Struthio camelus: one gene and its partners. The protein of the gene in region 4 interacts with the protein of the main gene of each other region in a biochemical or structural test. Links are inferred from orthologs where the notes say so. Each region holds a gene or a part of one and is shown on either strand. Other genes may lie near its edges. The genes, in order: APBB1, PLAT, LPL and LRP1.

Region 1 (8,014 bases), on a different chromosome or scaffold from region 4:
CCTGCACAGCTCCAGACACCTGACGCCTGGTGAGGCCAGTCCCGTGGCTGGTGGCTCCGCATCCTGTGCTCCAGGCTCATCAGTTGCTTCCTCTGCTGCGGTGTCCTGGGAAGAGAAGAGGGGGCTGGCAGGAGCTGGGCACAGCAAGGCACCCCCCCTCAACCTGCAGCTGCCTCTTACCTTCCAGAAATCCCCATCGCCAAAGCGCTCAGCCGGGGCGAAGCCCGTCCAGGCGAGCTGCGGAGAGAGTGGTGCCGGTTCAGTGAATGCACAGCAAAGCGATGCACCCCGTCCCCCCTGCACCCCAGGGCTCACCGGCTGCTCCTCGGACGGGGTGTTGCTTTGGGAGCTGTGTGCTGAGCCCCGGGCCAGCCCCGAAGGCGGCTCCCACTGCGTGGTGCCCGTAGGGATGTGCCAGTAATAGGTGCCCGAGGTGTCCTGCACCCGCATCCATCCCGCAGGCAGGTCTGAGTCCGTCTCGAAGGAGTTTCGGGTCCAAAATGAGTCTGGATGGGGTGAGGAGGGCTGGTGAGGGCCCCCTGCAAGGCACAGCCACCCTACAGGCACCATGGAGCCTCCCTGCCCCCCAGGACCAGGCACCTGCCCCATTGCCCAGTAAGGTGGGGTCCTCCACACCAGGGTGACCACCAGCCCCCACCCCCCCATCAGCATGACCATGGGGATCCCATGGCCAGGCACGGCAGCAACCCCCACTGCCATGACCATGGGGAGTCCCATGGCCAGGCAAGGCATCACCCCCCCATCACCATGACCATGGGGGTCCCATGACCAGGCAAGGCACCACCCGCCATCACCATGACCACGGGGGTCCCATGGCCACGCAGGACACCAACCCTCACCACCATGACCATGGGGGTCTCATAGCCAGGCAGGACACCAATCCCCATCACCATGACCATGCGGGTTCTATTGCCAGGCAGGGCACCACTCCTCCATCACCATGACCATGGGGGTCCCATGGCCAGGCAGGACACTGACCCCCATGACCATGACCATGGGGGTCCCAGGGCCAGGCAGGACACCAGCCCCCCATCGCCATGACCATGGGGGTCCCATGGCCAGGCAGGACACTGACCCCCATGACCATGACCATGGGGGTCCCAGGGCCAGGCAGGGCACCGACCGCCATAGAGAGAGGGGTCCCCACTGCCAAGCAGAGCACTGGTACCCCATATTGAGGGGTCCCACAGGGCAGATGCGTGAGTCAGGCATCGTGTCCTGGCTCAGGACCCTCAGGGCCGGGGGGCAGTGCTGCAGCCCACCCCCCCCCGACATGCCCTCGCTGGGGCACCCCGAACACAGAGACCAGCCCAAGCGCCGGGGCAGGGAGGGCTCCCCGTGCTGCAGCCCCCAGGCCCGCCGGCGCCAGCCCCTGTGCGCAGCCGCCCTGGTGTCCCAGCCCTGCTGCGCAGCCCCTACCTGGGCGCGTGTCCAGCAGGACGATGGCCAGGAAGTAGTCCTTGCTGTACATGGCGCTACCGCCCCATCCCGGGGTCCCGCCGGCGGGGACCGCACGCTGCCGGCCAGAGCGCAGCCTAGAGCCCCCACGCCCCCCGGCCGCCGCGCCGCCCTCCCGCCGGATCCGCGGGGGACGCGCGGCGCAGCGCCTGCCCCAGCTGCCTGCCCGCTGGCCGGCCAGCACCTCCCCGAGCCCCCGGCCCGCGCGGCTGCCGTGTCCCCCGCCCCGGGCACGAGCGCCGCGCTGTCGGCACCCCGCACCCTTCCCCGCCCGCCGCTGCGGGGAACGGACCCCCGCCCCCTGCCCGGGCGCCCGGCATCGCCCCGCGCCGGCCGGCGGCCCTGGCGCAGCGCTCACCTGCCGGGACCGCCGGGATGCAGGCGTTTCCCCGGCAACCACTGACGGCATCGGCACAGGCCGGCGCGCGGCCACGGGGACGGGGGCGCGCGGCCGTGCGGGGAGAGGGCGCTGGGGGGCACAGCGGGGCCGCGCAGCCAGGGAGGGGGGGCAGGGGCAGAGCGCGGGGCGAGCGGCAGGCGGCAAGGGGGCCGGGCGGCTGGAGACGGGGTGCGCGGGGGCACAGCGGGGACGGGGAGACGGCCCAGCCAGGCACAGGGCTGGGGTCACGGCGGGGGGGGCTCAGCCGGAGCGCGGTCGCGGGACGCAGCGGGGACCGCGCAGCGTGCCGGGGGTACAGCTGGGCACGGGGCGCGCAGAGCCACAGCGGGGACCGGAGGAGGGCGTAGAGAGCCCCAGGGGCCGCCAGCAGGGTCCGGGGTACAGCGACGGGGTGGGGGGCAGGCCGAGGGGCAGGGGGATGGGAGGGGGCCGAGACCCACCTGCGTCGTCGGGGGAACTGCAGGCAGGGCTGCCCTGGCTGAGCGTGGCCCAGCTGGAGTCCTCGTCGCTGGCGGTGCTGCTGCGCACGCCGAAGAGCAGGCTGGCGCTCTTGCCGTGCTCCCGGGGGGCGCGCTCCGAGCTCTGCTCCGACTCGGCCGTCACGGGGTCGCTCTGCACCGGCGTGGAGTCCCCCCCGTCCCCCTCCTCCTCCTCCTCCTCCTCCTCCTCCTCCTCCTCCTCGCCGGCCCGCAGGTCTATGAGCAGGCCGGGGCCGGGGCCGCAGCCGGCGTTGAGGGCGTTGCGGGCGGACACCTCCAGCTCCTGGGGCGGCGGCGGGGGGCCCAGCTCGTTGCGGTTCTGGTCCCGCTCGGCCGCCTTGCGCAGCTGGTTCTGCCCGTCCTTCACCCACTTGGCGTTGGCGGGCTCCTCGCCCGGCGGGGGGCCCAGCCCCACGGCGCTCTGCAGGCCGGTGCAGCCGTAGATGCGGCGGCCCTTGGGGGAGCCCGGGGGGGCCTTGGCCGGCAGCGCCTGGCCGGGGGGGCCCTGCAGCGCCAGGCTCAGCCCCAGGCAGCTGTTGTCGTTGGCCAGGTCGCTCCGCTTGCCCAGGGAGCCCGACATGGCGCCGGGGGCCGGGGGGCGCCGGCAGGGGTGGCAGCGGCCGGGGGGCGGCCCCACGCGGCCGGGGGGCGGCCCCACGCGGCCGGGCCCGCTCTCGCCTGCCGCCGGCGAGGAGGGCTCCTACGCGCCCCGGGGCGCCGGCGCCTCCGCCTCCATGGGGCCTGCGGGCACGGCGGGCTCAGGGGGGGCGAGCGCGGCGCCCCGGCCCCCCCCCCCGCTCCCGCCTCGCCCGCAGCCCCCCCACGCTCCCCCGGGCCACGGGGTGGTGCTAGACCCACGGACACCCGGCCCGGCCCCGCTGACCCCCCCAGCCCGGTCCTGCCCCACCGCCTCACAGCCCTGCCCCACTGCCCCCCCCAGCCAGCCTGGCCCTGCCCCACTGCCTCATAACCGGCCCGGCCCTGCCCCACTGACCCCCCCAACCCCAATGACCCCCCAGTCAGCCTGGCCCTGCCCCACTGCCCCCCCCCAGCCAGCCTGGCCCTGCCCCACTGACCCCCCCAGCCAGCCTGGCCCTGCCCCACTCCCTCATAGCCGGCCCGGCCCTGCCCCACTGCCCCCCCAGCCCCAATGACCCCCCAGCCAGCCTGGCCCTGCCCCACTGACCCCCCCAGCCAGCCTGGCCCTGCCCCACTCCCTCATAGCCGGCCCGGCCCTGCCCCACTGCCCCCCCCCAGCCCCAATGACCCCCCAGCCAGCCTGGCCCTGCCCCACTGACCCCCCCCAGCCAGCCTGGCCCTGCCCCACTCCCTCATAGCCAGCCTGGCCCTGCCCCACCGCCTCACAGCCCTGCCCCACTGCCCCCCTCCAGCCAGCCTGGCCCTGCCCCACTGCCCCCCAAGCCTGGCCCTGCCCTGCCCCACTGCCCCCCCCCCAGCCCCAATGACCCCCAGCCAGCCTGGCCCTGCCCCACTGCCCCCCAAGCCTGGCTCTGCCCCACTGCCCCCCCCCAGCCAGCCTGGCCCTGCCCCACTCCCTCATAGCCAGCCCAGCCCTGCCCCACTGCCCCCCCCCAGCCCCAATGACCCCCCAGCCAGCCAGGCCCTGCCCCACCGCCTCACAGCCCTGCCCCACTGCCCCCCCCCAGCCCAGCCCTGCCCTGCCCCACTGCCTCATAGCCAGCCCTGCCCTGCCCCACTGACCCCCAAGCCTGGCCCTGCCCTACTGCCCCCCAGCCCGGCCGAGCCCTGCCCCACTGCCCCCCCCCAGCCCCAATGACCCCCAGCCCAGCCCTGCCCTGCCCCACTGCCTCATAGCCAGCCCGGCCCTGCCCCACTGACCCCCAAGCCTGGCCCTGTCCTACTGCCCCCCAGCCCGGCCGAGCCCTGCCCCACTGCCCTCCCCCCAGCCCCAATGACCCCCCAGCCAGCCTGGCCCTGCCCCACTGCCTCATAGCCGGCCCAGCCCTGCCCCACTGCCCCCCCAGCCCAGCCCTGCCCCACTGCCCCCCCCCCAGCCCCAATGACCCCCAGCCGGCCTGGCCCTGCCCCGCTGCCCCCCAGCCAGGCCCTGCCCTGCCATCCCCCCAACCAGCCCCGCTGCCCCCCAGCCATAGGGCCAGGCCCGGACACCGCTCAGGCTGCAGACCCCACACCACACCGGGTCAGCCCGGGGCCCCAGTGGAGCCCCCCAGCTTTGCCATGGGGGGGGTCCCGGCACCGCCATCGCCCCCCTGCAGCCCCCATGGCCCTCGTAGGCCAAGCCCCATGCCCCCTGCCCAGCTCCCTCCCCAGCCCTTTGTCCCCTCCCTGGCCCCCAGACCCCCGGCCCAGCCCGGGCCCCTCCCCAGACCCCTGTCCCCATCGCTGCAACACCGACCCCAGCCCAGGTCCTTCCCCGGCCCCCAGACCCCCCAGCCCGGCCCCCTCCCCGGCCCTCAGACCCCCCAGACCCCCCACCCAGCCCCCTCCCCAGCCCTCAGACCCCCCAGGCCCCCAAACCAGCTCCCTCCCCAGCCCTCAGACCCCCAGCCTGGCCCCCTCCTCAGCTCTCCCAGACCCCCCAGTCCAGCCCCCAGACCCCTCAGACCCCCTAGAACCCCTCCCTGGCCCCCAGACCCCCAAGACCCTCAACCCTCTCCCTGGCCCTCAGACCCCCCAGACCCCCAGCCCAGCCCCCTCCTCAGCCTCTAGACCCCCCTGTCCTGCCCCCAGATCCCTCAGACCCCCAAGACCCCCTCCCTGGCCCCCAGATCCCCCAGCCCCCCCTCCCCGGCCCCCCAAGACCCCAGCCCGGCCCCCAGATCCCCCAGCCCCCCTCCCCGGCCCCCCAAGACCCCAGCCCGGCCCCCAGATCCCCCAGCCCCCCCTCCCCGGCCCCCCAAGACCCCAGCCCGGCCCCCAGATCCCCCAGCCCCCCCTCCCCGGCCCCCCAAGACCCCAGCCCGGCCCCCAGATCCCCCAGCCCCCCTCCCCGGCCCCCCAAGACCCCAGCCCGGCCCCCAGATCCCCCAGCCCCCCGCCCCGGCCCCCCAAGACCCCAGCCCGGCCCCCAGATCCCCCAGCCCCCCTCCCCGGCCCCCCAAGACCCCAGCCCGGCCCCCCCCGGCCCGCAGCCCCCGCCCCGCTCCCCGGGCTGAGCGCCGCTGGGCCGGACCGGGCCCGCCCGCCGCCCGGGGCCGGGGCTGGGGCTGGGGCCGCCGCGGAGCCCCCCCGTCCCCGCCCCCGCGGCCCGGCCCGGCCCGGCCCGCTGCGGCCCGCCCGGTACCTGCGGCGGCTCCGCGGCGGGGACCGGGGGAGGGGGGGCGGGGGGCGGGGGCGGGGCCTCCGCTTCCGCTTCCGGGGGGGCGGGGCGCCGACCGGACCCGACTGGACTGGACTGGGACGGACCGGGCCGGGCCCGACTGGGCTGGACCGGACCGGACCGGACCAGACCAGACCCGACCTGACTGGACCAGACCGGCACCGACTGGACCGGACCTGACCGAACCAGACCTGACTGGACCGGACTGGCACCGACTGGACCGGACCTGACCTGACCGGACCAGACCTGACCGGCACCGACTGGACTGGACCCGACCGGACCGGACTGGGACGGACCGGGCCAGCACCGACTGGACTGGACTGGACCAGACCAGCACTGATTGGACTGGACCGGACCTAACCGGCACCAACTGGACCAGACCCGACCAGACTGGACGGGGACGGACCGGGCCAGCACCGACTGGACTGGACTGGACCGGACCAGCACTGATTGGACTGGACCGGACCTAACCGGCACCAACTGGACCAGACCCGACCAGACTGGACGGGGACGGACCGGGCCAGCACCGACTGGACCGGACCAGACTAGACCGGGCCAGGACAGACCAGACCAGACCTGACTGGACCAGACTGGACCGGCACCGACTGGACCAGACCCAACCGGACCGGACTGGGACGGACCGAGCCAGCACCGACTGGACCGGACCGGACTAGACTGGGCCAGGACAGACCAGACCTGACCTGACTGGACCAGACCGGCCAGCACCAACTGGACTGGACCCGCCCGGGACGGTCCAGGCCAGCACCAACTGGACCAGACCAGACTGGACTGGGCCGGGACAGACCAGACCCGACCTGACTGGACCGGACCGGACCTAACCGGACCTAACTGGACCGGACTGGCACCAACTGGATGGCAGAGCTGGATGGCTGAGCTCAGAGGGTTGTGGTCAGTGGTGCAGAGTCTAGTTGGAGGCCTGTAGCTAGCGGTGTCCCCCAGGGGTGAGTCCTGGGTCCAGTCTTGTTCAAGGTATTCATCCATGACCTGGAGGAAGGGACAGAGTGCACCCTCAGCAAGTTGGCTGATGATACTAAACTGGGAGGAGAGGCTGACACACCAGAAGACTGTGCTGCCATTCAGAGGGACGTGGACAGGCTGGAGAGGTGGGCGGAGAGGAACCTGCTGCAGTTCAACCAAGGCAAGTGCAGGGTCCTGCCCCTAGGGAGGAATAAGCCCATGCAGGCACCAGTACAGGCTGGGGGTTGACCTGCTGGAAAGCAGCTCTGCAGAGAAGGACCTGGGAGTGTTGGTGGACAACAAGTGAAGCATGAGTCAGCAATGTGCCCTTGTGGCCAAGAAGGCCAATGGGATCCTGGGCTGCATTAGGCAGAGTGTTGCCAGCAGTTCGAGGGAGGTGATCCTGCCCCTCTACTCAGCCCTGGTGAGGCCTCACCTGGAGTACTGTGTCCAGTTCTGGGCTCCCCAGTACAAGAGAGACATGGCCCTACTGGAGAGAGTCCAGCGGAGGGCTACCAAGATGATTAGAGGGCTGGAGCATCTCTCCCATGAAGAAAGATTGCAAGAGCTGGGCCTGTTCAGCCTGGAGAAGAGAAGATTGAGAGGGGATCTCATCAGCGTGTATAAGTATCTGAAAGGGGAGTGTCGAGAGGATGGGGCCAGCCTCTTCTCCGTGGTGCCCAGCGACAGGACAAGAGGCAACGGGCACAAACTGAACCACAGGAAGTTCCACCTGAAGCTGAGAAAAAACTTCTTTCCTGTGAGGGTGACAGAGCCCTGGCACAGGTTGCCCAGAGAGGTAGTGGAGTCTCCTTTGCTGGAGATCTTCAAAACCCGCCTGGACGCGATCCTGGGCAATGTGCTCTAGGGGACCCTGCTTGAGCAGGGAGGTTGGACTAGCTGATCTCCAGAGGTCCCTTCCAACCTCAGCCATTCTGTGATTCTGTGACCCGACCAGACCAGACCCGAACGGGATGGACTGGACTGGACCCGACTAGACCGGACTGGACCGGGCCGGGACAGACCAGACCCGACCCGACTGGACCGGATCGGACCAGCACCAGGTGGATTGGACCAGTACCGACTGGACTGGACCAGACTAGACCAGGCTGGGACAGACCAGACCCGACCCAACTGGACTGGACCGGACCGGACCAGACTGGACTGGACCAGCACTGACTGGACTGGACCAGACTAGACCGGGCTGGGACAGACCAGACCCGACCTGACTGGACTGGACCAGACAAGACCCAACTAGACTGGACCAGCACTGACTGGACCGGACCCGACCGGGATCGACTGGATTGGACCCGACCGGAGCGGACCCGACTGGACCAGAGCAGCATGGACTGGACC
Region 2 (6,842 bases), on a different chromosome or scaffold from region 4:
TTTTTCAAGTAGGCATTACTTCACAGGACTGTTCTAGCTGAATCTGAACTAAATCAGTGAAGTTCCTGAAGATGCAGTGCAAGATCTAAACTGTTTCTCAGAAGTCACTTGGTTGCTGCTGTTATCCTCAATTCCTGCAGCTGTTGCCCATTACCAGAGCTATGCGCGGACATGTTCTGAATCCCACAGCTGCAAGGTTTTCAATTGCTCTTCGTTAGTACCACTGGTTATTTTTGCTGCCATCTGTGAGGGAGGCTGGAATCTCTCACTGACAGCTTTAAGAATGAGATTCTGCTAGCTAAGACCTCTTTAAGGAAAGATTCATTAAATGACACTCAAATTTGAGAGGAACTGTTTTGTTAGAATTTCTCTCTGGGAAGCACCATAAAGAACTGTTGAGACCTTGTTTCTGAGGTACACATTAAGATACCCAAAATAAGTCAACATTGGTGAAGTCTGAATTTATCTATTTATTTATTTTTGCAGGACAGAGTGGCAAAGCCAGCCTATCTAATATCTTGGAGGGAGTCCAAGATGACTGAAACCAGTGGGAACTATAGCTAGTTTTAGGGGGGGGGGGGAACCCCTGCTTTCACCAAAAAAAAAAAAAAAAAAAAAGAAAAGAAAAAAGAAAAGTCTTAGAGACTGAAAGGAGAAATCCCTATTTGAAAAGCACCTGAGTGACTTGGAATAAGAACTGAATGTTATAATCAAGTTTATCCCGTATAGTCTGCTGCACAAGCACGTTCTAATCTTATGCTGTTGTGTGCTTATACTGCAGAATGCTACAGCTTGTGTTGCTGCAGTTACCATGCGTCAAATACTGCATCCTTTCCTCCGCTTAATTTTGCTGCCCCAGTTCAGGCTAGCTGGTATTATAATGCTACAACCTTTCCACCCTCCTCTCTCCTCCCATGCCTGTCCATCCATTTGTGGCTGGCGTCCCAGTATACATGGAAAGTTGGTAACATCTGTTGACAGCTGTATCTTTCTAGTCTCATCTTTGGGAAAGGTAGAACCTATGCCAGACAACTGAAATGTTTTGAACGATAAGCCCTATCAAACTGACACCATATGGCTGTTTGAAAAATACTGTGTTTACAAGACTGCAAGCAGAAACCTACTAGCAATACTCTTTCTTATAGAGCTCTGCTAAACAGTCTGTGCCTGCTGCTCTGACCCTTTGCTTCCTCTTTGATGGAGAAATAATCCAGCAAAAAGTCTTTGATTCTATACTTTCAGGTATATTAGGGCATAAAGGCATATGATACCCTGAATGTATAGTGGCTGTTACACTTAATTCTTTTGGAATTCAACATGAATTAGAAGCTGCTTGTTTTGTTCATAATTAGACTTTGAGCAAGCATGTGTGTAATAAGGAAATAGTTTCCTTAACAAGAGAAACAGACAGAAGGGGGAAATGGAGCTGAGGAGGATGAATTTGGAGGTTTGGCTAAAATATGTTTTAAAAATGGATCAAGATTTTAAAGGATGGAGTGAATTGCTACAGTGAATGCCTAGGCCTTGTAGTGAGAGCTTTCTACTCTTAGAAGAGCCAGTGCTATACAAATCTTTTTCCTATTGACCTTTATGTTAGCCAACACGTAGGGGAGTAAGCTGAACAAACATACTGCAACCAATACGCTATAGCATTTTACTGGAGATGGTTTATTCCATGCTAATCAAGCAGACCAGCAACTCATGAGATGCCACACATGGTACAAGGATTGAGTTAGTAGCATATAACTCGGTACAGGCATGGAATCAACCTGATAAGGAATGCTGCAGATGCATTACCTCTGCTGAAGCATCATCAGCAAGGATACTTTAAATCTCAAGTTTTAACTCTTAATGATTTTATTTTTAGTAACAGCCTTTCTCAGCAGCAAGGATATGAGTGTTATCTTACAGATGTAGAAAAAGAACTTAAAAAAAACCCCAAACGAACAGCATCTTACCAAGGTCACACAAAAGTCATTAGTAGAACAGAGATTAAAAACAGCTCCCCCTAAATCCCTCCCCTGCAGTGACCCAGATCTGTCCATTAGAGAATACTGCTTTGATTCTGAATCTACAGCACTAATGGTTTTCTTCCTGATGGACCACTATCTTGAATTAGTTCAAATAAAGGATTGCAGATCCTTTCTGTCTTTTCCTGCCTTCTGGAGAAAGTGTTGCTATATCCGTTTTCTGAACTGAGCAGAAGATATTTGGACTCTTTACTATTTCCCTTTAAAGGATGACAGCGGACAAACCTTTCCTTTTGGAGAAAAGAAATAAAAGAAATAGTAAGAGTCTGAAGTCTTTGAAGGCATTGGAGGAAATGACTATTTCAAAGTCCGGCTTCCTTTTGGGAATCACTCTCAATATTTCCTGTGGTTTTGGCTGCATTTGAAAGGAGGGTTTTCAGAGAGAACTGAAGAAGACTCGCCCTCCTCCTCTCTGTCCCTCCATTATCCTGGTTGGGAGCCTAGGGAGAAATGCATAGTCTGATCTCCTCCCAGGAAGACAATAAATAATCCTTTCACAGCTGGCTCTCCGGGTCTCTCCTTACCATCAGGACGTTTGTTTACAAGCCTTCTTTGATATGAAGTTCTTTTGCTAAATTTTCTCTGTGCAGGAGACTCCTCCCTGCTAACTGGTCAGAGCCTGAGGCTGTCAGCCCTTTCCATGGAATAGCTTGCTGAGGCTTTCTTGAAACAACTGAAAACTAGCAGCTTTAAATCTCCTCAGACGCTGAAAGGCAATAGCTCAGTGTAATGCCACTAAAGCACCATGATATTTAATTATTAAATAATAATGTTTAGTAGTATTTAATAACAATGCCATTGATGTTGAAAATGGGAAATACGCGTTTTGAAACAGGTGCAGAGTAGCACATACCTTTTGACTTTTCTTCTTCTGTATTCTGCTGATGATTTCCTTTACAGACCAGTCTGGTTATGTGTTTTCTGCGTCTCAGCTCTGATCTCTCTGAACAGCTCCTATCCTACTTAAAACTCTACTCAAGGGGGTGGAGACTGAAGAGGGCGGTAGGGCAAACTTTTTTTTATTTTTTTCTTCTTCCAGAGGGAAGATATTGGGCAGGCTGTGGGGATGACCTAGGACAGGGTGGCTTGCATCCATTGTATTTTTTTTTTTTGGGGGGGGGGGGAGGTACAGGATAGGAAGAAAGGTTGCTTGCTGAAGTAGTAGGGCATATTGAATTTTACAGCCAACTGGTTTTGTTCATTCTTTATTCCAGTCAGAGTGCAGATTCAGTCCTTAGAACAATTTTTCTACCTGTTTAACATCTTAAGGTTCAGGAAGAGGGAGAGTAGTATGTATCCCTTATAAAGAACTGTTTCTTCATGCTTTTAGGAACATGAGGGGAGAAATGCCCAAGCAGCGCCCCAGTGAATGCACGAATATATTATTTCTAACGTGATCAGAGGTCTGCAACTTGTAGGCTTTGTCTTAAACCTGAGGAGCTCCCATTTCAAGCAGGAGCATGATGTGCTGTGTCCGAATGATATCTGTTGAGAATTTTTGGCCTGATCTCTAAGTGGAGCAGAGCATGCCATGAGCAGTGCCACTTGGAGATGAAATTGTCAGTGGAGCCCTCAAGTTCCATGCAGACAGTGAGCAAAACTGCTAAGAATCCTTAACTAGAAATGAGGAATATCATGGTAAGGACCAAAGGGTTAAAGGTTTATTGCTTAGAAAGTGATAGTCTACTTACCAGCATACAGTACGCAATATCAAAGTGTGGCAGACAAATACAAATGATCAGTTTTAGATCTGAACTTAGGGCTGGGATATGACAAGTATCAGTGATGTAGTGGTTACAGTAACAGATGTGTGCTAACTTTTAGGAACTGATTCGCTAGCAATGAGGTTCCTGATACAATTTAGTGTAAGCACTGACATAAGAAATAGCTCGTGAGGGACTTTCACTTTCAGGAAATAGCTGCACAAGAGTCCCCTGTTGGGAAACTCGGCAAGGGTTATTAAGCACAATGGCAAAAGGAAACACTGGTGACCCTGAATGATTCTCTCTTCTCTGTGTGGAAATCTATGTCAGAATTTATAACTTGTTTCTCTGAGAGTCACAATGCAAGCAGTAACGTAACTGCCATGAAACTGATTTAGGGACACCTGGTTATTGACTGTTACCACAGGGAACTCCTGGTTGTTGAGGAAAAAGGTGATTGGACGCTGCAGAGAGAACAGGTGCTAATTTGTGTTATTTATAAAGATTCCAATTATTTGCTACTGGACTTCTAGATTAAAGATGCCAACAAAGTGGTGGTTGGGGACAGGATTCAAAAAGTTATTTTATTTCCTGGCTTTTCACAGCTCGTGTTTAAGGACACTTCCTGTAAAAAGATTTTTCTGCAGCTGACTAGAGAGCGTGGTATAAGTGTCATTTGTAGTGCTTAACATACTTTAGGAAAGCCAGCAGTAAGCGTCTCCTGCTTCAACATAACAGCCACCATCTCCTGGCTTACCTCTAAGCTGCTCCTCTCTCAGGACAGGGTTTCTGCAGGCTACCGTGTTAGTGATGAAGTGTGGAGCCTAGTCTGTCAGGATGTTGTCTGGGCGCTCTTCATCAAGAATGCAACTGTTCAAATGCTTTGTGGATCCTCTACATTCAGTTCCATACCAGCTGCAAACTCCAGGGCATGTAGGAGGTCTGGAGGGGACTCGGGACAACTTTGGTTCAGGCTGTACGTTGCCTAACTATAACTACCATAACATCTTTACTAAATACATATCAAACCTGGAAATTGGAAGGTTGGGGTCGGGTCTATTTAACAACATTAAAAGATGCTAAGTTGAGAACTTTAATCTCTAGAGAAAAGTTTAATCTGCTATGCCTTTTTCCGGTAGTGTGCATAGCTCTTGGTGAAGGGCTCAGGTGATCTCTGGAGATGCTGAGAGCACTGGAATTCATGTTTTGGGGGGGGGGGGGGGTGCCTTTTGGGGGGGAGTTGTTTTTTGTTTTTCTTCACAGACAGTATTACTTCACATGTATATGTGCTATCCTCATCACAGTAAAGACTGCATCAACAGTTTCATCTCTCTGTGACAGACCAATGTTGAGGTTGCTTCCCTTTGCATGGTTGTCCATACTAATAATTAGGATTAGATTGATATTTTAAAAACAAGTAATTGTCACCTATGGTAGACAGCTAAATACCTTTAAAAATCAGTTTTAAGTGTCCAAATGCAGACAGTCCTAAATCCAACTTGTTACTTGTCTTACGTAGAAGACCTATAAACTGTTCCAGCTTTATTTTTATTATTAAGTGGTAGAGAGTACATTCAGAGGTGCCCAGACTGGATGTAAATCTAATTGTGCTTCTTCGAATATCCCATTATAAACGTGTACGTCAGCATATCAAACCAAGCATAACACGGTCCTGCTCCAAAGAGCTGCCTGTCGCCCTCCGCTCTCTCTAGAGAGGAAGGTGCATGCTCACTGCTGAAGCAACTGTGTGTCAGAGACTGCACCCTCCTGAAGAAGGGTGCTGCTCTTAGCCATATCTTTCTGCATTAGCTTTGTATCTTAAATGATATTTATGAAACCGTTCGGTGTAGAAATCTGTGTCCCAGGATAATGATATGTGATGGATGAGTGAGACATTGAAACTAGGGTAGCAGGAGATAGGTATCTGCATGAGTGGCAGATAGGTATCTGACAAGACGGACTCTAGAGTGTTAGGTTCTCTCATGCGTATAGCTCTCAGTGAATTGCAATACTGCTTATTGCTAAATGCGTTAAACAATAGTATTATGGGGTTGGATGTTTTCTTTGGAGCTGGGCTTTTCGGGGTTGTTGGAGTGTGTGTGTGTGTGTGTGTTTGCAGCATGCAGAGTTTGGGCACAAGGCAGTAAAGAGAGCAGCGCTCCAGGCAGCTTAAGTTCAAGAGCCCCCTCTGTTGCACGTTTGCTGGAACCTCTCTACCAATGTAGATATAAAATGAAGCCATTTTCTGGTTTCATGGGGGAAAGTTCACTGTCTGCTAAGGTGAAAGAAGTATGTTGTGGTATGAATAAAGTATTTGCACAGATCACTGCTTTATAGTCACTGTACCTCTGCCTTATACAAAATCCTCTTAGGGATTATTCTCAGCGTTACTTGAAGTACGTGCAAAAAGCTACTCAGATTCTGCCGTTGTTCTGCTTGTGACTAGGTCTGAATGTTTTGATGCACAGAAGTAATTTGATGAAGTGTTCTAGCAGTAAGGAGGATAGACTTTTTTGAAAATGGATGCTACTGGCAGGGACGCCAGTTGCCTGCATTCTCTAGAGATGGACTTTTGGTAACAAAACCTCAATAACCATGTCAGAAGTCTGTGCGTCCCCCTTCTGGCAATCCTTTGCTGCCATAGCTGTGGAGGATTTCTGGCACTCTCTTTGGGCAGCAGCTTTCCTGAGCAATCAGGATACGGAATGTGCTTTTGTCCTGGAAGGTATGTGTTGAGCAGCTGATCTTGACTGTCTTCTTTCAGTGCAGTGACTGCCAAACCTCCGTCTCCTCTCGTAGGATGTATTGATGCATTTCTGTCCTGATAAGTAAGTTCAGTCTAATGCCAGAAGCCAAGTTTATTGTGGTCACTTCACTCTGCACCTTCTCTGAGCTCTGTTATTTGAATAACAGTACTGTTTCACCCTGTGCTGTCTTCTCCACCTAGGCTGGCCTCACTCTGATTAGTTACTAAGTCTTAGTTTTATAAATAAGTTTATAAATAAGCTTTATAAATATGTTGCTGAAAATGATTATCAGCAACAGCTCCTTATTCTCACATGGGTACTTGGTACTAGGTGAAGAGACTCTGTGCTTAACCAAGGACTTC
Region 3 (7,014 bases), on a different chromosome or scaffold from region 4:
TGCAAAGAACCCCACTGACTTTAGGCATTCTGACACAGTGTAAATGCAAGTTTACACCCTAATCAAGAAGAGAATTCAACCTCAAATTTCCTTCATGGGAAATCTAAGACAGTCTTGCAGTTGATTTTCATGAAGGAAACTTTATCACTAGTCAGCTGGGTGGAGAACTTGGATTCTGAGGAATAACAGCATCTGGAATATCAAGCAAAAATTAAACTGCCAGCCTCAGACACAGGCGGCCAAAAATCATAATAATGCAGTTGCCAAAATCAGTGCATCTGAACTGTGAATTTAACAGGGAAACTTTGACAAACAACAATTTCCTCATGTTATTTACACAAAAATGAAAATACTATCAGCTAGGTGCAACAAACATCAGAAATTAGACTGCTTGCCCATGTAAACGGAAGTCCACACACACACACACACACACACACACACAGCCACAGAGGCACATATCTGCACATCAAGTCAAACATTTACAGAAACAGCTGGAGTTAACTGAAATAGCTTGTCCTCCAGATGATAACCGGCACTATGGCAAGGCATCAGTCGTACTGAATTCCTGCATGGCGTCTCAAGCAAACTCAGACAGCTGTAATAAAGGGACTGTATCACAGAAGGTGTTACTGTTTAATTTGATATTTTCTATAAACTGAAATCAGACTTCTGTGTTGCAATCCCATAAAACCTACCCCATAAGTCAGGTTATTGTTTAACTTTGCTGTGACAGAAATTCGACTTCCAGTTTATTTATGTCTTCCTTAACAGCAGAGCTCTGAGCCCAAGTTCTCCCACATTTCCCAGGCAGAGCCAGTGGAAAGACCAGCACCTCTGAAAAGCCACGGGCCCTAAGCTTAGGCGCTGAGTGGGGACCTGCCTGCTCAAGCCCCGCAACTGGTGGTGTGAGGCAAACCCCCGCTCTGCCACCGTGCACGTGGGTGCCTGCCCCACGGCCGAGGCGCTCCCTGTCCAGCAGATGCTTACTCAGCTGCAGCTGGGAGGCTTGTAACTCAATCAATTTAGTAGCAGAGCTCTTGCCATCCATCAGTCCCTCTGGGGTATCTGGAATTAGCCCAAGACAAGAAAATACAATCACTGTCAACTTTACAGTACAAAGGAGGCATGAGAAAGCCACACCATGCAAGCACCTAAGAAATTCCTACACCTAAGAAATTCCAGCAAGCTTCCTTATGAGCGCTTATCCTGATGCTACTCTCCAGCACACTTTGGATAGCCTGGATGCCTCACCTCTGCTCGGTCTCAGAAATGCATTGCTGCTGGAAACACCATGCCACAGCTGCTCTGGTAGGTCTATCCCAAACAGCCGTAGCACAAGCTGGCAGCGCACATCACACAACAGTGTAAATCTGGTGTAACCCCTGACTCTGGATTTACACCGGTAAAAATAGAGAACAGAATGCATTCCCAGAAATGTTATCTTTTCCTGGAACACCAATGTTATCTTCACCTAGAAGATTTTTTTAATGTTGTTTATTAAAGACTCTGGATTCCTGGAGGGTTGGGTCATGTATTTTCCATGGTTTCAAAACATCTTTTTACTATGGTGAGCAAGAAATAAGAGTGAGAGTTGAGGCTTAGATAGTTTTAGGACGGTCACACAACCTGTTCTCATACAACCTGTTTCCATGGAGAACTAATACAATCATTAGAAAGGCTCTGTAGCAAAGCAGTTCCTAGAGGGATGAAAGCTTGCTCAGAAAAAGTTATCTCACTTTATGAAACTTAGACACTTTGATGAAAATCACTTTTGATTGCCTCTGATGGCACAAGATAGAATTTAATACGAGAATACATTCCTCTGGCTGTGCCCTAGCACCCCATCCCCTTACTTCTGAATACTTCCCTCCAGCTTCTTTATGCAGAAAGCAAATAACAGAAACATCCACAGTGAAAAAAGCAGCAGACTCTATTTTCCACTTTAGTTTCACTTTGTGGCTATAACAGATACATCCACATTTTCTTCTAACAGTGTGGACTTTTAAAGATACACTAATCTCTCACACACAATATCTAAGAAAGCGAGACCTTGACAGGGCACTGCTATCATAAATTTGAGGACTGCAGGACTGTTATAACCAGCTTCTTTGCTTGTTAAATCTGCAATCTTCTCACGGATTAGCCAAGAGAGTATTAGTGAGCATCTACTACTCACTGTGTGTAGATGCTCTAATTTCTATATCCTGGGGGGTGCCTATACATATATATAAAACAGGTATTGCATAGGCATAGTGATGCACATATATGTAGTAAAGTACACATATGTGGACCCTGTTAGGGTATAGCCATCCCTTTGTTAGCTTTTTTCTTAATACAGTCTGTTGCAGGAAAGGCATTAACTACAACTACAGTGCCATGCCCCGGCTGAAACTCAGCCGTGTGCCCTAGACCCCGCAGTTCCTAGGGTCCGAGAAGGGTAGGAAGTGGGGACGCGGGGCTCCCTGCGGCCCCCCGGGGGGCAAGCAGCACCCCCCTGCCCAAAACCTCCCCCCTCCCCCCCCCGCCAGCCTCCTCCCCGAGCGGGGAAAAAAAAAACCAACCCCTCTTCCCCACCACGGCGGCGACACTAGTGCCTGCAGCCGGCCCGCCCGCCGCGCAGCCCGCGCGCCGCCCCGTCGGGGCCGGGGACCCACTCACCCTGGGGACCCACTCACCCTCGGCCGCGGCCGCCGGCACCCAGCGCAGGCAGAGGCAGAGGGCTGCCAGCAGCGCCGCCCGCCCCATGTCGCCTCCTCGCTCGCTTTCCTCGCTCTCTGGCGCGGCGCAAAAGTTTCGGTGCAAGGGAAGAAGAAGGGGGGAAATAAATAAATAAATAAATAAGTGGGAGGGTGGGTGGGGGGAAAAAGTTTTAGAAGAGCTGCAAAGCGAAAAAGAAAAAAAAATAAAAACAGATTAAGCTCACTTAAGGAAAAAAAAAAATTAGCTGCCCCCCCCCGCCTCTCCCAGCAAAGCACCCCGGCTGCGGCAGGCGGGCGCCCCCTCTGCCACCGCGGCTCCCCGGTGGCCCTTATGTCCCCGCCGATATGCAAATATGCAAATGAGCCCTGCACTCATTGGCCGAGCCGCCGAGGGGCGGGGCCGGGGCTGCCCGGAGCCGGGGGTGGGGGGCGAGGCAGCCCCGTGGGGCCCCACCGCCCCGGCACAGCACGGTCCAGCCTGGCACGGCACGGCACGGCACGGCACGGCACGGCACGGCATGGCACGGCACGGTTTCCCCACAGCCCCCTTCTGAGATGCTTTTCTCGTGCGGGGTCCCAGGAGTTTCTCAGAGGGAGGGATGGCCGAGACCCAGGAGCTCAGGCAGCGCACAGCGGTGCCCACATCTGCCCCGCTCTCTCCTTGTCCTGTGGCACCTGCCCCCTGAAGGGCCCGCTCTGCCCTGCCGTTTCGCTGCGGTGTGGGCATCAGCCAAGGGGCTCACCCGTGCTACTCTTCCTTTTGCTTTGCATTTCTTCCCTGTCCTAACTCCTCTGTGCATGCAACAAGATCTCCCTTGTCGTCCACCTTTTTGTGCCAAGAACCAACTGTTAATTGCACTCGTAATCCAGCACCTGCAATGGGCCTTCTGCTGTTCACTTGAAAAGCCCCTGCCAAAATCCTGTTTTGCCTGTGCTTAAGGGAGTACAAGTCTGAGGTGTAAATAAATACCCTAAAGACTGCATCTGTACTCTGGAGAAATGCAAAGTTACATCTCTGAGCTGTTCAACTCTCAGTGCCCTTTTCTCAGCAACATGGTTTGCAAGCAGCTTTCCATTGTTAGCCACAGGGTGAAAGATCAGTTATGTAAGCACTTGCAATAAAGAAATATTAAGTTAATGACAAGACCAATTTTTATTTCATTCTGCGGTGCTTTGTCAAAGCCCCAGTTTCATAAAGAAGCCTTGAACACACGGAACGAGAACTCCTTGGTTTGTGCAAGGTGGAACAAATGGGATTCCCTTTGGGTATGACTGATTCTTCTGATTCATATTAGTGAGGATGTTCAATACAAGGTTACTTCAGCACTGCAGGACAGAGGTCACCATTGCAACTTTAGATTTCATAGGAAGAGTAATAAGACCTTTAAGAGAGAATACATCTTCCCCAGGACAAAGCACGAGGTTCCTTCTCTACTAACTCCTATTTATATCCAAAAGGCAAAGAAAGAATTTAATGACGGTGTGACTGAGCATGCTGAGACTTACTTTCCAACTGAGACAACTGGGCTAGGGTGCTAACCTCTGTATGGGTGAGTGGGAGAAGGTGGGGTAGACAGGAGGTGAGAGGCTGGGGGGAAAGGGGAGAGACAAGTCTGCCTTGCCAGAGGAGTATAGTGGTATGACAAATGGGGTTTGTGCTAGCTGCATCTTGCTCTTGATAAATCAGCGAGTCACGTCTGATCAAAACGATGGCAAATTTTTTTTCTCTCTCTTTTATTTTTATTCAGTATTGACTAAACAATGCGCTTTCTCTTGGTCCCATTCAGCTGAAACTCTATAGCGTAATTTGCCCCCAGAAATCTGTCTGACTCTATCTAGGTTCAGACAATAACTGTAGGAAGACTAATAATTTAATTTTAACTGCTAATTGGATCAGATCAAGCAGGTGGAAAAGAGCAGTAGCAATGCCTGGTTGGTCAGCCCTGGGTGGTCTACTGGCCCCTACGAACCTCTGGAGATCCACAGGCTGGAATCAGAATTTCAATTTGTTCCCAACACAAATCTTGTAACTTATCAGTCGCAAGAGCAGGCAGCAGATTTGCAAACTACTCAGAATAAAAACTGAGTCGTTACATGGAAAATGCTTGCTTGCATAATTTTATGTTCCTTGTCATGCCCACGCCTCATCTTAAGATATAGTCTGAAAGCGTTGTGCAAAGTCTCCACCTAAAAATAAAGAAGGAAAATTAAAAACAAAACACAAATAGAAAACTTCCATATAGTAAAAAAAAAAGCCTGGTGGGATATTTCCGGTTTCCCGGTCTTGAACAACTTGTCCAAGTCTGCTGTAAACCGAGCTGCAAAATAATCTGAAATATATGGGACTTCATGAAGGCAGAAAGCATTCCTAAACACTAAGCAATCTGCAGTAGCACTGTTCTGACATAGCACGTTCTCCGACATTTAAAAATGTTCTTTCCCTTGCAGGTAATGGTAATCAGACCAAGGAGAACCTTTGAGGCATCAACTTGAATGCGCCTCAGTGCAGTTAATAGTGGATATGAGTTTTGGTTCTTCTGCAAAATAAATAATCCTATAAGGGAAACCAAAGCTCCATCCATAAAACAGAGCCTAATTTATAATACCAGAGGATTCCCAAGTGGGTAGAAGGTAACAGTGAGAACTAAAATACATTGTTTCTATCCAGAGGGGGAAAAAGTTCAGGAGGAATGGAGACAGGAATTGCATAACTAGGCTGGTACTTGCACCCACCGACCATGTAGAAGGTTAATGTCAAAACAAGCCAGCAAGAGTCCGCAAGACAGCATAGGCAGCATCGGTTTGTGTGGTGCAGCTGCAAGAAACCCTGAGCAAATTCACCAGACGGACTCGACTGCGAGCGAGAGAATACTCAACACCAAAATTTTGTTTACACAGCAATGTTCCAAAGAGCGCTTGAAACACCAGGCAAAAGTGTAAAAACCAGAGCAGAGAAACTAACTGTAACTGTGAAAAATTCTGTGTTGCTTTAACCCTTTTCTAACAAAAGGCTCAGAAGCTAAGGATGAGAGGTCTTCTAAAGAAAGACTTCTGCTCAGAAACAAGCAAAAAAACTGTTCTCTTGCTTTCTTTCCCCTTAGGAAATGCAAATAAGTAAGAAGTCTTTGTTTACATTTTATAAATATTTAAATTTTGTCTTTTCCTGAATGGAGGAAAACAAGGGAAATTACATCAAAAAACTCAGAAGGAGGTTCCATGTGTTTTCTATGTGAGTAAATAACAATAAATATATTTTTTTCAAAGATACCAATGAAATATTTTTGAAAAACCCTTTCTCATGAAAACCAGCCATTTCTAACAAAATTTCAGTTTGGGAATAAAAGTGGCCCTTCCCAGCCTTTGCCCACAATGACATTTGGGTTGTGGGCACGACTCCACCTGCAGTGGAGACCCTCCAGTCCAGGGCTGAGGATCGTTGATGTGCTCTGAGGGAGGAACAGCATGTCCTCAAGCCATCCAGGCACAAACAGGGACTGGGTGGTCCTTGGCGAGCCTGTCCCATCAAAGCTGATCTGTAAGTGTTTTTGGGCACGGTCTTGCCTCCCTTTCCACCCTGGACAAATCACAGCGGGGGTGGCGAGCATGGGGCAGAGGCGCTGGTCGGACGGGGCAGGGTCACGCGGGTGGGAGCTGCGGGAAGGGTTTCAGCAGGGGCTGCCTGGGTGTCTGTTTGACGACGCAGTCCCGTGCAATTTCACTTTGTTGGTGCCTGAAGAGCTCAACGGGAGTCAATGAAAGGCAGCGAGCTGTGCTGCGGCTGCGGCTCTGCCCGCAACAGGGGCACCTGCTCCTCCTGCACTCTTGCCTGCCTTGGGTGACCAACGTCACCCATGCAACAGGAGGAAGAAATCTCCTATGGAGGACGACTGTTAGCAGTCTTGGTTTCCTACCCTTTCTACTACTGTGGTAGGACTTGCTGTTCTGTTCCCAGGTTGCCTCATCTTGCAGACGAGGTCCACTTCTTGCTGGTTATCACCAGGATTCATTTCATTTCATCCTGCTCTCTTATTTTCAGCGTCAGACGCAAGCTGCCCACTCTCCCGAATAAAGAGGTACGAGCTATAGTGAGACACCCCGCTCTGCTAGGGAGCTGCAGAACTGGCTGCAGAGTAGGCTTGCGCTGCAGTGTGCTTTAATTAATTATCACGCTGCTGGTACTGCCTGCCAAAGTCAGCTGGCTGTCTCGCCAGACGTGTCTTTCAAAATGCAACGCCGAGGGAGTGACATTCCTGCACCCCTTTTGGGGCGGCCGGTAGGGGAGTGGAGGCCACCTCCCCACCCATTGGTCGTGGGG
Region 4 (7,993 bases):
GTGGGGGAAGAAAACCGGTCTCACCCAGTGAATCCTCCACGTATCTCCATCCAGCACCAACAGGAAGCAGCGTCATCCCTCACCTCCAGCTCTGGACCCCGCACGTAGAAAAGCCAGGCCTGCCCCCGCTCCCGTAGTGAGGGGACAAACCACTGCTGCTCCCAAAAGCAGAGCCAGCCAGCACTCAGCAGCTGCAAATCAAGTACGGGCTGGTGGCAAAGAGGAACCAATTAAGGTGAAAGTCTAGTCCGTTCCCCTCCAGGAAGGGGAGGCTTTGGGCACCAAGGCCTTTGAGGAACAAGGAAAGACTTGGGTGGTTTTACTCTTCAGAAGCACCAAGAGCTGGGAGAGTGCGAACAGCCTCCTGCAGAGCAGAGAGCTCCCAGGTGCACCCCCTAGGCCCACTGCAGAGCGAGGGTCTCGCCATGCGCAGGATGCCGGGGCACCCTCCCCGTCCTGCCCCCGCGACCCGGGGCCCCGGCGGCAGCACCTGCTTCCTTCCACCAGCAGCCCCCAAGCTGCGCCGCCGCTCCACCTCTGCTGAGCCCAGCTCGGCTCAGGCCCTGTGCGGATGCACTCGGGGAAGCGGGCGGGCGCGCGCATGCATGCACACGCACGTGCAACACGCACTGCCCTCGTACACATGAGATGGGCCAGGCCACCAAGGCAGCGAGAGGAAAGCAACAGGCTGGATCACCCCTGCCGCCCCTAAACATGAGGGTTTCCAAACCGGCAGTGGAGCAATCCCCCCCTGCCCGCACCGCCTCTCCCCAGCATGGTTCACTGTGCAACGGGGCCCAGGGAGGTTTGACGCCCCGGCAAGCGGGAAGAGGAGCCCTGCAGAGACAGGAGCCGTGGACCAGTGCCCTTTGTCCCCCTGGAGAAGCTCTTCCACCCACCCCATCTGCTGGACTTTGTCTCCTATCTCTTCTACCACCAAAGCCAGAGAGGGATTAACAGCTTCCAGCACCGTGCACCAAGGGAGCAGGCTCGGGGGGCAGGCGCAGGACCGCTCTCTGCCTAAGGAAGGAGCATCCTTTCCACGGAGCAGGGCAGGACCCCCGCGCCCACCCCCAGCTCTGCCCCGGGCTGTCCGCGCCGCGCCGTCCCTGCGACTCGATTCCCCCCGCAGGGCCCACCGCGGCGGGCACGCTCCTGCCCGCGGCGCACCCCTGCTCCGGCGGACGCCGCGGGGCCGCCCGGCCTCCGAGACCAGCTCCGTGCCTTATTCAGCAGCGGCCCCTCCGGAAGCAGCGGGGCTCCCCAGAACCCCCTTTGCAACCTCCCAGGTGAACCCCACCCGGCACCCCGCTCCTGCCGCCAGGCCACGCGAAGGGTTTCTGGGGTGGGCACACCCCAAGGGGGAGATGCTCCCGCGCGGGGAGGCGCGCAGCCAGCCGCTCGGCAGGAAGGGGGTGCTTCCCGCGCCGGTTCCCGTGGCTCCCCGGCCGGGTGGGCAGCGGGGCAGAGGAGCTCCGCGTCGCCGTCGCCCGTTTCCACAGGCAACACCGCTTATGCGATGACTGATGCCTGCCCCTCCCGCCCCCGCCAGCTCCCGAATTCAGCGGCTTCAAACCGCAGCCCAGCGAAGGGGAAGGCGTCTGGGGGACGCGGGGGCCAGGCGAGCTCAGCGGGAGCAGCCGGACCCCGCCGGGCCCTCGGTGCCGGCGCTGCACGTGCCGCCTCCCGCCACCTCCGCCCTTCGGACCGAGCACCCAGAGCGAGGGACGGGAACGGAGGCTGCAGCCTCCTGCAGCACCGGCCGCTAATCGGGGGCAGGAGAGTTAATTTGGGGCCGGGGTGTTATCGAGCCTTCGCCCGCCTGGCCTCGCCACGGGCCGGCGCTGCTCCTGCCTCTGCCGCACCACCAAATAACCACAGCTTCGCCCGGCTCCCTCCAAGCGGGGGACCGGAAGGGACAGAAGAGCCTTCCCCAAAAAATCCCCTCACCAATCAACCGCTCCAGACCCGCCTGCCTTCATCAGGCGCTTCTGCACAGCGGGGACCCATAGAAGGGAAACGTCGCAAGCGAGCCCGGGAACAGCCCCCGTTTCTGTGCTTTTGAAGGGAAAAAGCAACCTTCTGCCCCACGCATTCAAACGCCGCGAGGAACTCCTTCACCGCTAGCTGCATTTGTTGCGCTGCCAGCTCCTCGGCGCGCTCGCGCTGCCAGCGACGGCCCCTCGCGCGCGCAAAGGCACCAGCCACCGAGCTGACGAGCTCGCAAAACTATTTACTGAATAGATCAATAAGAGCAGGGCCTGGACGTGCGCGGCGCAGGGAAAAGCAGCTCGGCCGGGCTGTCCGGCCGCTCGGTAAACACTTCGCGGGTGCCACCGGCGCGGCCCCGGCCCCGGCCCCGGCCCCGCGCCCGGCAGAGCCGCTTTCGCGCAGCGCCGCGTTATGCAAGAGGCGGCCGGGGGCGCCGGGTCCGCGCGGCCTCTCGGCCCGGCGGCAGCGCCGGCCGCGACGGCGAGTCACAACTTTCCTGCTCGGCTACCGGGGGCGGGGGGGGGGGAGGGACCGTTTGATTCCAGGGGAGGAGAACGAAGCGTTATTGCAGCTAATGGAGAGGAACGGGAAATTATCTGCCAGGGATATATTTGGGGGGGGGGGAGGATTTTGCTTTATTTGCTGAAAATCTGGGAAAAGTTCGCCGAGGGAGGAGGAGCTCGTCCCCGTCCGCGCCCCCCCCCACCCCGCGGGGCTCCGCGCACGGCGGGGGGGCACGAGGCGGCTCGGCGCCCCCCGCCCCGAGCGCTGCCGCCGCCGCCCGGCCCGGCCCCCCCCCGCGGCAGCCCCGACGGGCGCGGCGAGCCCCGCGCCGGGCGGCCCGGCGGGGCGCGGACTCACCGTCGAGGGCGCGGGCGGCGGGCGCGGCGAGCAGGGCCAGCAGCAGGCAGGCGGCGAGGGGCAGCGGCGGCCCCATGCCGGCGGTGCGGCGGCGGCGGCTCCTCACGCCGTGGTGCCCGCGGGGCGGCGCGTCCCGGGCCCGCGCACCGACATCCGCGGAGGGCGGGGAGGGGAGGGAGCGGAGGGCCGGGCCGGGCCGGGGCGGGCGGCGAGCGAGGCCCCTCCGCCTCGCGGCCCTGGGCGGCGGCGGCGGCGGCGGCGCCCTCGGGACGGGACGGGGCGGCCGCGGGGGCGGGGGGCTGCGCGCGCCGCCGCCGCGGGATGGAGCGCGCCGCCGCCCGCTGACGTCACCGGGCCCGGGCCGCCGCGCGGGGGGCGGGGGGCGTCGCGCGCCGACGGGGTGGGGGGGGGTCGTGCGCGGCGCCCGCGCGGTGCGCATGCGCGTGCGGTGCGGGGGCTGCGGGGCCCCCCCTCCCGCTAGCCCGCGGGAGGGGCTGAGGATGGGGATGGGGGTGGAGATGGGGCGAGGGGAATGGGAATGGGGATAGGGGATGGGGATAGGAATGGGGTGAGGAGATGAGGATGGGGATAGGGGATGGGAATGGGGATAGAGGATGGAGAATGGGGTGAGGGGATGGGGTGAGGGGATAAGGATGCAAATGGGAATAGGGATGGGGATGGGGATAGGGGATAGGAATGGGGTGAGGGGATGGGTGGGGATAGGGGATGGGGATGGGAATAGGAACGGGGCAAGGGGTGAGGATGGGGATAGAGGATGGGGATAGGGGATGGGGAATGGGGTGAAAGGATGGGGATGGGGGATGGAGATGGGGCGAGAGGATGGGGATGGGGAATGGGGATAGGGGATGGGGAATGGGGTGAGGGGATGGGGTGAGGGGATAAGGATGCAAATGGGAATAGCAATGGGGATGGGGATAGGGGAAAGGAATGGGGTGAGGGGATGGGGAATGGGAATGGGGGTGGGGAATGGGGGTGGGGATGCAATGGGAACGGGGATGGGGGATGGGGAATGGGGGTAGGAGCAGGGGCACGGATGGGAATGAGAATGAGGATGGGGATGGGAATGGGGAAAGGGGATGGGGCAGGGATGGGGACAGGGAATGGGGAGGGGAAATGGGATGGGGATGGGGCAGGGAATAGGGATGGGGATAGGGGATGGGAATGTGCGATGGGCATAGGGCAGGGATGGGGATAGGGGCAGGGGGCTGGGGCAAGCATGCCGCAAGCCCCTGTCCCCCCGCAGGCAGGAGGTGCCCCGGGGGAACGCGCGGGGCCAGGGCACCCGGCCAGGGCACCCTGCTCCCTCCGAGCTGCGATCCCCGGGTTTGGGGCTGCCGCCGGTCGGGGGGAGCAGCATGGGGGGCGCTCACCCCTTGGCACGGCCGGAGGCGGCTCTCCCCAGAGACCCCTTCCCCTGCAGGGAACGTGACCCTCCGTCGCCGCAAGCTGCGGCGCCGGCCGGGGCGAGCCGGGGCCGCGCTGCCGACGGCTGCAGCGCTGGGAAGGGCCCCGGGGAGCCGGCTGGCGGAGGGGGCAGCTGCAGGCCGGGGGGTCCCCACCTCCGGGCGAGCACCACGGCTGGGGAGCCCGTCCCAGGAGCGCGCCGGCGGCTCTGCCATCGCAGCGGGCCCCGGGCCATCGTGCAGCTGCCGCGTCACCCGGCCGTGCGGCAGCGCGGGGACAGTGGGGCGCGCGGGGCAGCCGCAGCGCTGCAGCCGCACGGCGCCGGGCCCCTGGGCCGGGACCTGCCTGCGCCCCCTTCCCCGAGTGACATCACACGCCGTCCCCCCCACCCCGTCCCGGCCAGGCGGCAGGGCTGCCAGGGCGCGGGGGGGTCGGCCCCAGGGCAGAGCGCCCGGCTGCCTCGCGGCCGCCTGCCAGATGTTCGGGAGGGCCCAGATGTTGCTGGGGCGCTGGCTGCACCCGCCCCGAGGCCCCAGCGGTTGTGCAAGCCCCAGGGCGCCGGGCAGGGGCCCTCCCACGCCTGCACCGCGGCCGCCCCCCCCCCGGGGGGGACGGGCCGGGGGCCGCGCCGTGCCCAGCGCCGGGGGGGGGGGGTGGACGGGCCCGAGGGACCCTTCCCCGGCCCCGCGGCCGTCCCGCTGGCCCTGGCCGCTCCTGGGGGTGCCGGGGCAGCGAAACGTGCCCTCCTGGAGCAGCAGGGTGCTGCGGGCGGGGGGGGGGGGGGGGGGGCACCAGGACAGGGCTGTGCAGGGTGCTGCCCCCCCTGGTGGGGCCGAGCTGGGTGTACCCTCATGGCACTGCGCTTCCCCGTGGGACAGCGCGGGGTGCACCCCCGAGGGGGCCCAGCTGGGTGCACCCCCCCGAGGAGGCTGTCCGGGTGCAGGAGCCCCCCCGGCCGCTCGCCCCGGCGCGCTCGCGCACCGCCCCCGCCCCGGGTCGGTGACACTGGCGGTGCAGCAGCGCCCCCTGGCGGCCCCGCCGCGGCCCTGCACCCCCGCGGCGCGCGGGGGGGCCACGGGCCGCCCGGCCCCGCGTGGGCGCCTTCCCCCAAAGCAACGTGCATTCCCAAAGGAATGTGCACCCCAAAGCACTGTGCACCCCCAAAACACCGTGCACCCCAAAGCAATGTGCACCCCCCAAAGCAACGTGCATTCCCAAATCAACGCGCTCCCCAAAGCAACGCACCCTCAAAGCACTGTGCCCCCCCAAAGCACTGTGCCCCCCCGAAAGCAACGCGCATTCCCAAAGGAATGTGCTCCCCAAAGCACTGTGCACCCCAAAACACCGTGCACCCCCGAAAGCAACGTGCATTCCCAAATGAATGTGCACCCCAAAGCAGTGTGCACCCTCAAAGCACTGTGCACCCCAAAGCAGCGTGCACCCCCGAAAGCAACGCGCATTCCCCAAGCACTGTGCTCCCCAAAGGAGTGCACACCTCAAAAGCAATGTGCCCCCCAAAACAGTGCCCCCCCAACACTCTGCCCCCCCAGAGGAATGCGCTCCCCAGAGCAGCGCGCCCCCGCGGGACACAGCTGCCTCCCCGGCCCCGCGCGGCACCGTCGCGGCTCCGCACGCTCCGGGCAGCAGAGCGGCCGCGAAGGGGCGCGCGGCGGCGTCACGCGTGTGCGTGGGCTTCCGCGCCCGCAGCGAGGCGCAGCCAGGAGGCTGCTGTCCCTGCTTGGGGGGCCGCGGGGCCCGGCCGGCGGCGGCAGCGGAGCCCGGGGCAGCCCGGCCCGCGGCCGGTCGGGGGCCCCGGCGGTGCGGGCGGTGCCGCCGCGGCTCGGGCCGGGCCGGGCCGCGCACGCAGGCGCCCCGGCGTCTCCTCCCCTTCCTGGCGCTGGCGGAGCGGCGGCCGCGGGTGCCCGCTGCGGGGAGCCCGGCCCCGGCCGCCCCCGGCCCGCGCCGCCTCCCGCGGGGCCCCCGCCAGGTAACGGGCCGGGCCGGGACGGGACGGGACGGGACGGGACGGGACGGGACAGCGCCGGGGACGCGGCCCAGGCTGCGCCGGCACCGCCCCGGGCTCGGGCGGCGCCCGGGGAGCTCGGGGCCGGGGGCAGCCCCAGGGGAGCGCTCACCCCCAAAGCAGCGCGCCCCCGCGGGACACAGCTGCCTCCCCGGCCGCCCGCCGGCCCCGGGGGCAGCCCGGGGGGGCGGGCGGGGGGGCTGGGGGCGGCCCGGGGGGGCGGGTCGGTGCGCCGGGAGCAGCTCGGGGGGAGCGGCCCGGGGGGGCGGACGGGTGGGCTGGGGGCGGCCCGGGGGTGCGGGTCGGTGCCCCGGGAGCAGCCCGGGGGGACGGGCCGGGGGGCGGCCCGGGGGGGCGGGTCGGTGCACCGGGAGCGGCCCGGGGGGGGCGGGCGGGCGGCCCGGGGGGCGCAGCCTGCGGTGCAACACGGGGCAGGTTTGCAGCCCGAGCAGCATCCCGGGCCGGGGTCGGGGGGTGCGGGCTCGAAAGCCCCTGCCCGGAAGGAAGGGAGGAAGCTGGGGGCTGGCTGCAGCCAGCTGGGGACGTGCCTGGGGAAGGGGGAAGTTGCCCTCGGTCATGGGCTCGTCCCGCCAGCACTGCCGGCCCCGTTGGGGCCGCGCGCAGCCCTCTCTGCGCCGGGGGAGCGCAGCTGGGCTTCGCTTTTCTCTTCTGCTTTTCTGCCCCCGGGCTTGCCCCTGCGCTGCCGCCCCGCGCGCCGGGGCTCCGGGGTCAGGGCGAGGGGCTGCACGGCGTCCAGCAGCGGCGCGCTCGCGTAACTCTGGTTTCCCGCCAGGCCGGGCTGCAAGCAGCAGCCGGGAGGGCCCTGCTCCGGGGCTCGGGGAGCTGCCCCTCGAGGACGGGGCATCCCGCAGCGCCAGAGGCAGCTTTCCAGCCCCAGGGCGTGCCTGAGCCGGCCGGGCGGCTGCGGGCTGCGCTGCCCGTGGGCCGGGGGAATCCAGCGGCGATCCTGGCCGGCGCTCCTGCTCGCCTCCCGGGACGCTGCGCGGCGTGCCACGATGGCCGGGCGCTGCCCGTGCGCGGTTCGGTTCGGTTCAGAGCGGCTGCTCCTCCGGCTGGGCTGGCCTGGACGGGCCTCGGGGCAGGGCTGTGGGGCCTGCAGGGCCCCAGGGTGGAGAGGCCGGAGCGTCTCGCGTGGATGCGGCCGGAGCCGGTGGGCGCCTGCGCGGCGGTCCGACCCCGAAGGCGCGGGTGGAAGCGCCGGCTGGGCCAGCGCGGCGCGGCAGCCTGGCCCAAAGTCCAGCACCAGCACCTGCGGGCACGGCTGCCAGCTCCCCGCCGCCGGGACAAAGTGAAAGCACCCAGCCGGTGCCTCCTGGCGCGCTGCGGCGCTGAGCCGCCGAGCCCCGGCGGGTCCTGCGGACGGGGTCCCGCGGCGGCGCGAGCCGCGGGCTTGGTCCAGCCTGGACTTCCCACGCTGTGAGTCACGTCGGGCAGGTCCGCAGGGGAAAAACCTGCGCGCTCACGCTCTTCTCCCTCTGACTCAGCAGGGCTTTCGCCGCAGGTGCGCCGTGGCCGGCCTGCGCCCCTGCGCCCGGCTCGTGACCGGCGTCGCCGCGCTGCTGCCCCAGGACCGCGGTCCGGTGCCTTCGCCTCCCCGCGGGACGTGGTGCCGGAGCGCGAGCGGCGCCCGGGTGACCTGGGTTTCGTGCGCTGGAAAATCTCAGCGCCTCC

The links.
Region 1: the proteins of LRP1 (region 4) and APBB1 form a complex in vitro, tested with the Homo sapiens proteins (2 studies listed by BioGRID and IntAct, with this or other methods). The link is inferred for Struthio camelus from reciprocal best matches to the Homo sapiens genes LRP1 and APBB1.
Region 2: the proteins of LRP1 (region 4) and PLAT form a complex in vitro, tested with the Homo sapiens proteins (2 studies listed by BioGRID). The link is inferred for Struthio camelus from reciprocal best matches to the Homo sapiens genes LRP1 and PLAT.
Region 3: the proteins of LRP1 (region 4) and LPL form a complex in vitro, tested with the Homo sapiens proteins (3 studies listed by BioGRID). The link is inferred for Struthio camelus from reciprocal best matches to the Homo sapiens genes LRP1 and LPL.

Annotation. Positions count from the first base shown.
Region 1 is NC_090942.1:225,072,462-225,080,475, forward strand, and holds the start of APBB1 (amyloid beta precursor protein binding family B member 1), read right to left. Parts: upstream 3,004-8,014; 5' UTR 2,939-3,003; coding exon 2,320-2,938; intron 507-2,319; coding exon 316-506; intron 238-315; coding exon 181-237; intron 106-180; coding exon 20-105; intron 1-19. Other genes in the region: spidroin-2-like, read right to left, coding at 4,542-4,610, 5,645-6,682. UniProt on the Homo sapiens protein: Transcription coregulator that can have both coactivator and corepressor functions. Adapter protein that forms a transcriptionally active complex with the gamma-secretase-derived amyloid precursor protein (APP) intracellular domain.
Region 2 is NC_090968.1:7,903,050-7,909,891, forward strand, and holds the start of PLAT (tissue-type plasminogen activator), read right to left. Parts: upstream 3,008-6,842; 5' UTR 2,884-3,007; intron 1-2,883. UniProt on the Homo sapiens protein: Converts the abundant, but inactive, zymogen plasminogen to plasmin by hydrolyzing a single Arg-Val bond in plasminogen.
Region 3 is NC_090982.1:12,935,654-12,942,667, forward strand, and holds the start of LPL (lipoprotein lipase), read right to left. Parts: upstream 3,014-7,014; 5' UTR 2,976-3,013; intron 2,879-2,975; 5' UTR 2,746-2,878; coding exon 2,676-2,745; intron 1-2,675. UniProt on the Homo sapiens protein: Key enzyme in triglyceride metabolism.
Region 4 is NC_090969.1:285,946-293,938, forward strand, and holds the start of LRP1 (prolow-density lipoprotein receptor-related protein 1), read right to left. Parts: upstream 3,005-7,993; 5' UTR 2,930-3,004; coding exon 2,854-2,929; intron 2,316-2,853; exon of another isoform or gene 1,714-2,315; intron 1-1,713. UniProt on the Homo sapiens protein: Endocytic receptor involved in endocytosis and in phagocytosis of apoptotic cells. Required for early embryonic development. Involved in cellular lipid homeostasis.